Kluyveromyces lactis: one gene and its partner. The protein of the gene in region 1 binds, or shares a complex with, the protein of each later gene. Links are inferred from orthologs where the notes say so. Each region holds a gene or a part of one and is shown in the gene's direction. Other genes may lie near its edges. The genes, in order: KLLA0_E22727g and ARL1.

Region 1 (4,327 bases):
TCTTATCCTCGGGAACTGTCTTTGCGCTGTTCTTATAGTCAGTGAGAGCGGCTTCAAATCTATTCAAAGCATAAAGACAATTGCCCCTTCTTAAGTATGCCTTTGCCTTGTCTTTGTTTCCTACACGGTCATCATCCACTAAAAAGGTAGAGTATTTGATTGATTCATGATACTCTTTCAAATAAAATAGCATCAGACAGATGTTCAAATATAGTTTATGTTTCTGGATAGTGAACTTCTCATTATGAAACTTGTCTATATCCACTTCAGGAGTATATGCAGTAGTATATTTCAAGGCCTTCTTGTATTTGAAAAGAGCGTTCCTAAAGTCTCGTTTCTTGAATAGCAGAGAACCAGATTCTTTAATGGTCTCTGCTGCTTCATATGCTTTGGCAAAATCTTCGCCTTCGAAGTGGGTGTCATCATCTGGATTTTCTTCATAAAAATCATTACCAATTGTATCGTTGCATGCATTATAAAGAGGTATTTCCATATTATCAGACCATTCACCGCAATCTTCTATGATTATTGAATCATTTGGTACTCCATTTTCATCGACATCCATATGCTCAATTGTGCGAACAACAGATTTACCTGCTATCACTTTTCCAAACTGAGAATGTTTACCGTTTAGATGGGGAGATGGATAAGTAGTAATGAAGAACTGAGAACTGTTGGTATTCTGTGAACCAGTGTTGGCCATAGCCAATATGAAGCTTTCGGTAAATTCACCCAAATTTTCATCTGGAAAGTTCCCAAAACATTGAATTTCATTTCTAGATGAATTTTCCAACTCAGATTCAGTCGCATAAATTGAGCAACCGCCTTTTCCAACTTCTTCTTTGTTAATCTTGTCGTCAGAACCGAACATCAAATCTCCAGCTTGAATCATAAAATTCTTAATGATTCTATGGAAGTGATTTCTTTTATAGCTTAACACTTTACCATTAAGATTGACATCTCCTCTGCATAGATGTATAAAGTTAGCACATGTTTTAGGGGCTTGTTCGTCGAACAGTTCGCATACGATTCGGCCTATTGGCTCATCGCCGATCTTAATATCAAGATATACTTTGTGCATTTCAACAATGAATTCAATCTTACAGGAGGAGCAGTTATCCTTTTTGACCTATTACCTTATCTTTTTCTATTGTTACTTTGACCACAGCTATAAAGCGCAACTTAGCTTTGGAACAAGGAGGCTTTAACTGATGGGATGAGGTATTCGTTCTCATCTCATCACTGTTCTTAAACTAGCTGTTCATTCGTAATGTCAAATTCGTAGATCATTTTGTCCGGGTAAGAAACTTTTATCAAAGTTCAGGCGATCTGGTATTGGGACCTCGAAATCAAACAAAACTTTGGGAACAGTGTGATAGGTAAGTAAGAGGGAGAAGGAGAAGGAGAAGAAAGGAAGGACTTTTGATCGCGATTAGGGTTCTACGGTTGACTAAGCTTGAACCACTTCAAAAAATGTATCGACAAGAAATGACTCGTGATAATGTGGCTGTTGATCCGGTCACAATTGTCATCAAGGAATGTATTTCTTTGTCGACTTCTATGAGGAAGTACGCGAAATATTCGGTGCAATCTGGTGTTGCAGCCTTGTTAGGGGGGGGAAGTGATATATTCATAAATCAGGACGCTTCATTGGCAGGTACTTTCAATAATTTAGCAGCTAGTAAGACTAAGGATCCACTACTGTCGGGGTTAATTCAGTTGAGATTGATGTTAAATCATAAAGATAATTTAGAAGATGTTGATGCGCTAACTGTCTTGCAACCTTTCTTATTGGTGATAAGCACAGCTTCAACGTCAGGATATATTACATCATTGGCCTTAGACTCATTACAAAAGTTTTTCGCCTTTGGTATTATTAACGAATCTTCGAAAAACCATGTCGCAGCTTATAGACAAACGATCAACTCTTTAACCCACTGTAAATTTGAAGGTACTGAACATTTATCCGATGATTCTGTCCTTTTAAAGGTATTGGTTCTTATTGAATCAATTATTGCTTCTCCTTCAGGTGAGATTCTTTCCGACTCATGTGTGTACGATGTGTTACAAACTGTCATGTCCTTGGCTTGTAACAAAAGAAGAACTGATGTGTTGAGAAAGGCAGCAGAAATGAGCATGCTATCGATTACCGTCAAGATATTTGACAAGTTGAAAAAGTTAGACTCAAGCAAACAACACATCTTCATTAACGATCAGGACTTCTCGAAGAACGTTTTGAAAGATGACAACATAGGTGCCGAAGGAAGCAGTGACATTGATTCCGTTGAAAATGGCAATTTTACAGCATCAAGTGAAAGTCAAAATTTAGAATCGGACTACGGACTTGCAGTTATAAAAGATTATATGGACATTTTAGTGTCTCTTTTGTTGCCTGAGAACCAACACAAACAAAACAATTCCACTAAGGTGTTTGGTCTGCATTTACTAAATACAGCCATTGAATTAGCTGGCGACAAATTCCCACAACATCCGCAGTTGTTTTCCTTGGTTGCCGATCCTATCTGCAAAAACATTCTGTATATCATCCAAAATTCGGATAAACTCTCGTTGCTACAGGCTGCCCTGCAGCTGTTCACAAATTTGACCATTATACTTGGTGACCATTTATCATTACAAATTGAATTTACCATCAACACTATTTTTTCAATTTTATTAGATTCAAACGTTTCAGATGAGACTAAGCCAAGACCAGCTGTTGTTAAAGAATTATTGATTGAACAAATCTCAATTTTATGGACAAGATCTCCTTCATTTTTCACCGCTGTTTTCATCAACTTTGATTGCAGCTTGGAAAGGTCGGATTTGGCTATTGAGTTTTTGATGGCATTAACAAAATTATCTCTACCGGAATCTGCGCTAACGACATCAGATAGTGTTCCTCCAATCTGCTTGGAAGGATTGATATCTGTTGTAGATGATATGCATGATCACTTTTTGAAAGCAGGAGTGCAGGAATTCGTTCCGGAAGAACTGGGCACTCTCAATAAGAGAAATTTGAAGACCGAATTCATTAAATGTGCAGAGGAGTTTAATAAAAAGCCAAAGAAAGGCATTCCATTGTTGATTGAGAAAGGTTTCATTTCGTCAAATTCTGAAGATGAAATAGCTAAATTCCTTTTTGATAATAATGCTCGGTTGAACAAAAAAACTATTGGTGAGTTTATTGCGGCGCCTGAAAAAGTCGGCCTTCTTGCAAAATTTATTGGAATGTTTGACTTTACAGGTTTAAGAATTGATGAGGCAATCAGAGCGCTTCTTACCAAATTCAGATTACCTGGTGAATCTCAACAGATCGAGAGAGTTGTGGAACAGTTCTCCGCTAAGTACGTCGAAGACCAACACTATAATCCTGAAAGAGATGGGCTGGAAATTGAGGGAGATTATTCTACAATTCAGCCAGATGCAGATTCAGTTTTCGTTTTATCTTACTCGGTAATCATACTGAATACAGATTTCTACAATCCTCAAGTGAAAAAACATATGACATTTGAAGATTATACCCTCAACTTGAAGGGTTGTAACAATCAGAAGGACTTCCCATTATGGTATTTGGACAAGGTTTACTGTTCTATCAGGGATAAAGAAATCGTTATGCCCGAAGAACATCATGGAAGCGAGAGATGGTTCGACGACAGCTGGAATAACTTAATTGCAGCTACCACAGTTGTAACAGAAGCTCACGAAGTCAGCAAATGTGAAAGCTATGTCCAATCGTTAGGCCCTAATCAATTGATACAATTTGATAAGGCTATTTTTGAAAGCGTGGGTTCTTCCATTATAGAAACTTTGTTTAAAATTTTCGAAGTTGCTTCAGACGATCATATCGCAACTAGAATGCTCACAACGTTAGATAAATGTTCAAATCTTGCCAGCTTGTTTGAACTTGGTGATATCTATAACGATGTGATTACAACCATGGCCAAATTTACTACTTTGACAGGAGAAAGAAAACCTGTTGACGACGTTTATGTTGACGAAATACCCGTCGTTCAGATCGATGTGGAAGATTCTAAAGAAAGCATTGCGGTAAGTAATGTAGCCATTCTTCTAGGCAACGATTTCAAAGCGCAGCTGTCAACCGTTGTTCTATTCAGAATTTTAAGACAAAATACAAACGTGGCTCTTATTACTGAAGTGACGTGGAATAAAATTATCGATATGCTTTTGAGTTTGTATGAAAATATGTTGATAACACCAGATATTTTCCCAGATTTACAAGTGAGATTGAAACTACCAAACCTACCTAAATGCAAACCCGAAGTTCTCATCAATAGATCGAACTCTAGTAGGGGTTTGCTTTCCACAT
Region 2 (2,724 bases), about 170 kb from region 1:
GATTCGGTTCTGTGAGTGGACTCACACTCATAAAAGAGCTCAACCCGGTTCTTTGCCTCTTTCCCCTGTATAACTGTTCCGAACAGTCTTCGTTTGTTATGTGGTTATGGGTATCTACCGGGGTTGGGCTTTTACTATGCAATTTCGGGGAGTTTCTTTTTGTATGATTAGGTTGTGACTGAGCCTGCGTTTGCAAATATTCGTTTACCATCTGAACGTCTGTTTGAGTCACCGAGTAAGACTCGAATAGTCGCGGGGAGAAATTCTTGAACTCCTTTACCATAATTCTGTTCCAAGCCATGGCCAATTTTTTATGATAATCGGTGATATTAGTACAGCGACTATAAATTGATGATAACAAATGCTCATAAAAGGAGCACAACCCATAGTTCAGAAGAACAGGAGAGAGATGATTCAAGCAGATAGTCTTATTCACAGGTATGCAGGGATTAGGTGTCAAACAGTTTAATAGTATGATAGGCTCCCATTCGTTCATAGGCTTGTGGCTTATGAAAACAACACAGTAAAGTTCCAAATCTCGGCTTTCGTCATGTAGTACTATATTCCAGAACTGCAAATTTGATTCTTGTGGCTTGATATGGCATGTAGAGTGCTTATAATGGCTCAAACGTTTCCATTCCCTAAGGAGTTTCCTGTACAACGGATGCATCTTATGTGGATGTGGCCTGCTATTTGAAAGAAAAAAAAGTAGTGAAGAATAACAATTATAGGCAATGGAAAAGCCTTTCCAATAATGATATATTACCACACTTAGTTGGCAATATAGTAGTTAAGATATCCAATAATAATCACGTTACCCTTAGCTTTGCATGCAAAGGTATGCAGTCTTACTGTTTTGTATTTTTACAAATCAGATTAATATATTCTATTATTATTTTTCTCTGATTATCATTTTTGATCTACAAATTCTTCATATATTGTAGAATATGTTTATACAGATAGAAGAAGAAAGAAAATTCAGAGCATTAATCAGTACCGGTATGCCTCATGTGAGCTCTCTGCAGTTACAAACTCGCATATATAAAAAATTGAGATTGAACAAAAAAATACAGCGAGGACAATGTGAACGATACAGACTATATACGCAAGTAATTTTTACTATGTCTAATGGGGTCTCTTTGTTTGTTGTTACCCGGCCACTAAAAGGCCAACTACAATTTTAGTGAAAGGAAAATCTCAGGATCGAGTGATTAATAACACACTGCATTGGTTAGGAGTTATGATTTCATTGTATTTAATATTTCACTCATTACAAAGACATTATCTGATCTTATAGTACGAATACAATAAAATTGTTTACACATCAGGAGACAAACTTACCGCTGTCTGGATCGCTGTTTATTCGTTTATTTGTTTCGAATTTTGGCTGTAACTGGTTCTCAAATAAGAAATATTTTGAACAAGTACTTCCTAATTTTACATATCAACTAGTACAAAAGTTTTGGTTTTAAATTATTAATTGACTTATTAATACACCTTTTCTTTAATTACCAACTACCTTTGAATTGACCGCAGTACAGCAATTACTTATAAAATATCACAATGGGTAACTTCTTTAGTTCTATGTTTGATAGACTATTGGGTGCGGAAAAAGAATTACGTATATTGATATTAGGGCTTGATGGTGCTGGTAAGACGACGATATTGTACAGACTACAGATAGGAGAAGTGATAACTACAAAACCTACCATTGGTTTCAATGTAGAGACGTTAAATTATAAAAACTTGAAACTTAACGTGTGGGATCTAGGTGGACAAACTTCGATTAGACCATACTGGCGTTGTTATTACGCAAACACAGCAGCAGTTATCTTCGTTGTTGACTCTACAGATAAGGACCGTATGAATATAGCTTCGAAGGAATTGCACCTCATGTTGCAAGAAGAAGAATTGCAGGACTCCGCTCTGCTCGTATTTGCCAATAAACAAGATCAACCAGGCGCATTAAGTGCGTCAGAAGTATCAAAGGAGTTGAACTTGGCAGAATTGAAGGATAGAAGCTGGAGTATTGTTGCATCCAGTGCCATTAAGGGCGAAGGGATAACTGAAGGTTTGGATTGGTTAATTGACGTGATTAAGGAAGAACAAATGTAATTGTAGAAGGAATTGAAAACTGCATGTTTTTTAGTGCTTCCGGTCCCATTATATTTATCTACAACTGAAATGCTTTTTTAATTTGACATGACCTAAGATAGTAATAAAAATAAATGACAAAGCTAATAACAAAGTTAAAATTCGAATTGTTTACTTCCTGCCGATGCTGGCGTAATGTCCTATTGAATTCCTTTACACGCTTATTTCAATAGACATTCAATTTTCCCATGCATTTTTATTTCATCTCCAAAATCCTCCACTATTTCGTTTACGTTTGCGTATGCGTGATATAATGTTTTCTCCTATTCAAACCATTCCATCGTGCCCTAGTTTCATTATATATATAGCATATTCATAATTCGCATAATTAAGCAGTCATTATACCATGCAACCACGAATCCTTTAAATGGAACATGGTCTTGCCAACTACCACCATATCATTCAGTATATGATGTATTACTTCGCTCAACGTAAAAAGGTAAATCTCTTTGTTATATATTACAGGTGTACATTACCCCCTCGACGAATATCATATACTGGAAACAAATACCAAAAGCGGTACCTCTTTTTGATTATTATTTGCTATAGTAATAACTACAGGCATATAGC

What was found.
Region 2: the proteins of KLLA0_E22727g (region 1) and ARL1 are in contact, whole or in part, in a cryo-EM structure (PDB 8EZJ), measured with the Saccharomyces cerevisiae proteins. The link is inferred for Kluyveromyces lactis from reciprocal best matches to the Saccharomyces cerevisiae genes GEA2 and ARL1. Residues at the interface, in NP_010892.1 of Saccharomyces cerevisiae: Pro71, Phe72, Ser74, Gly75, Gln78, Leu79, Met82, Asp93, Leu95, Thr96, Ile97, Gln99, Pro100, Leu103, Thr107, Ala144, Asn147; in NP_009723.3 of Saccharomyces cerevisiae: Ile50, Gly51, Phe52, Ser74, Ile75, Pro77, Tyr78, Arg80, Cys81, Tyr82.

The regions. Positions count from the first base shown.
Region 1 is NC_006041.1:2,027,318-2,031,644, forward strand, and holds the start of KLLA0_E22727g (uncharacterized protein), read left to right. Parts: upstream 1-1,473; coding exon 1,474-4,327. Other genes in the region: peptidylprolyl isomerase CPR7, read right to left, coding at 1-1,081. UniProt on the Saccharomyces cerevisiae protein: Activates the ARF proteins by exchanging bound GDP for free GTP. Plays a role in maintaining mitochondrial morphology. Stimulates DRS2 flippase activity.
Region 2 is NC_006041.1:2,192,991-2,195,714, forward strand, and holds ARL1 (Arf family GTPase ARL1), read left to right. Parts: upstream 1-1,563; coding exon 1,564-2,115; downstream 2,116-2,724. Other genes in the region: UBS1 (Ubs1p), read right to left, coding at 1-670. UniProt on the Saccharomyces cerevisiae protein: Recruits golgins such as IMH1 to the Golgi. Can bind and hydrolyze GTP. May be involved in trafficking events within the endosomal system.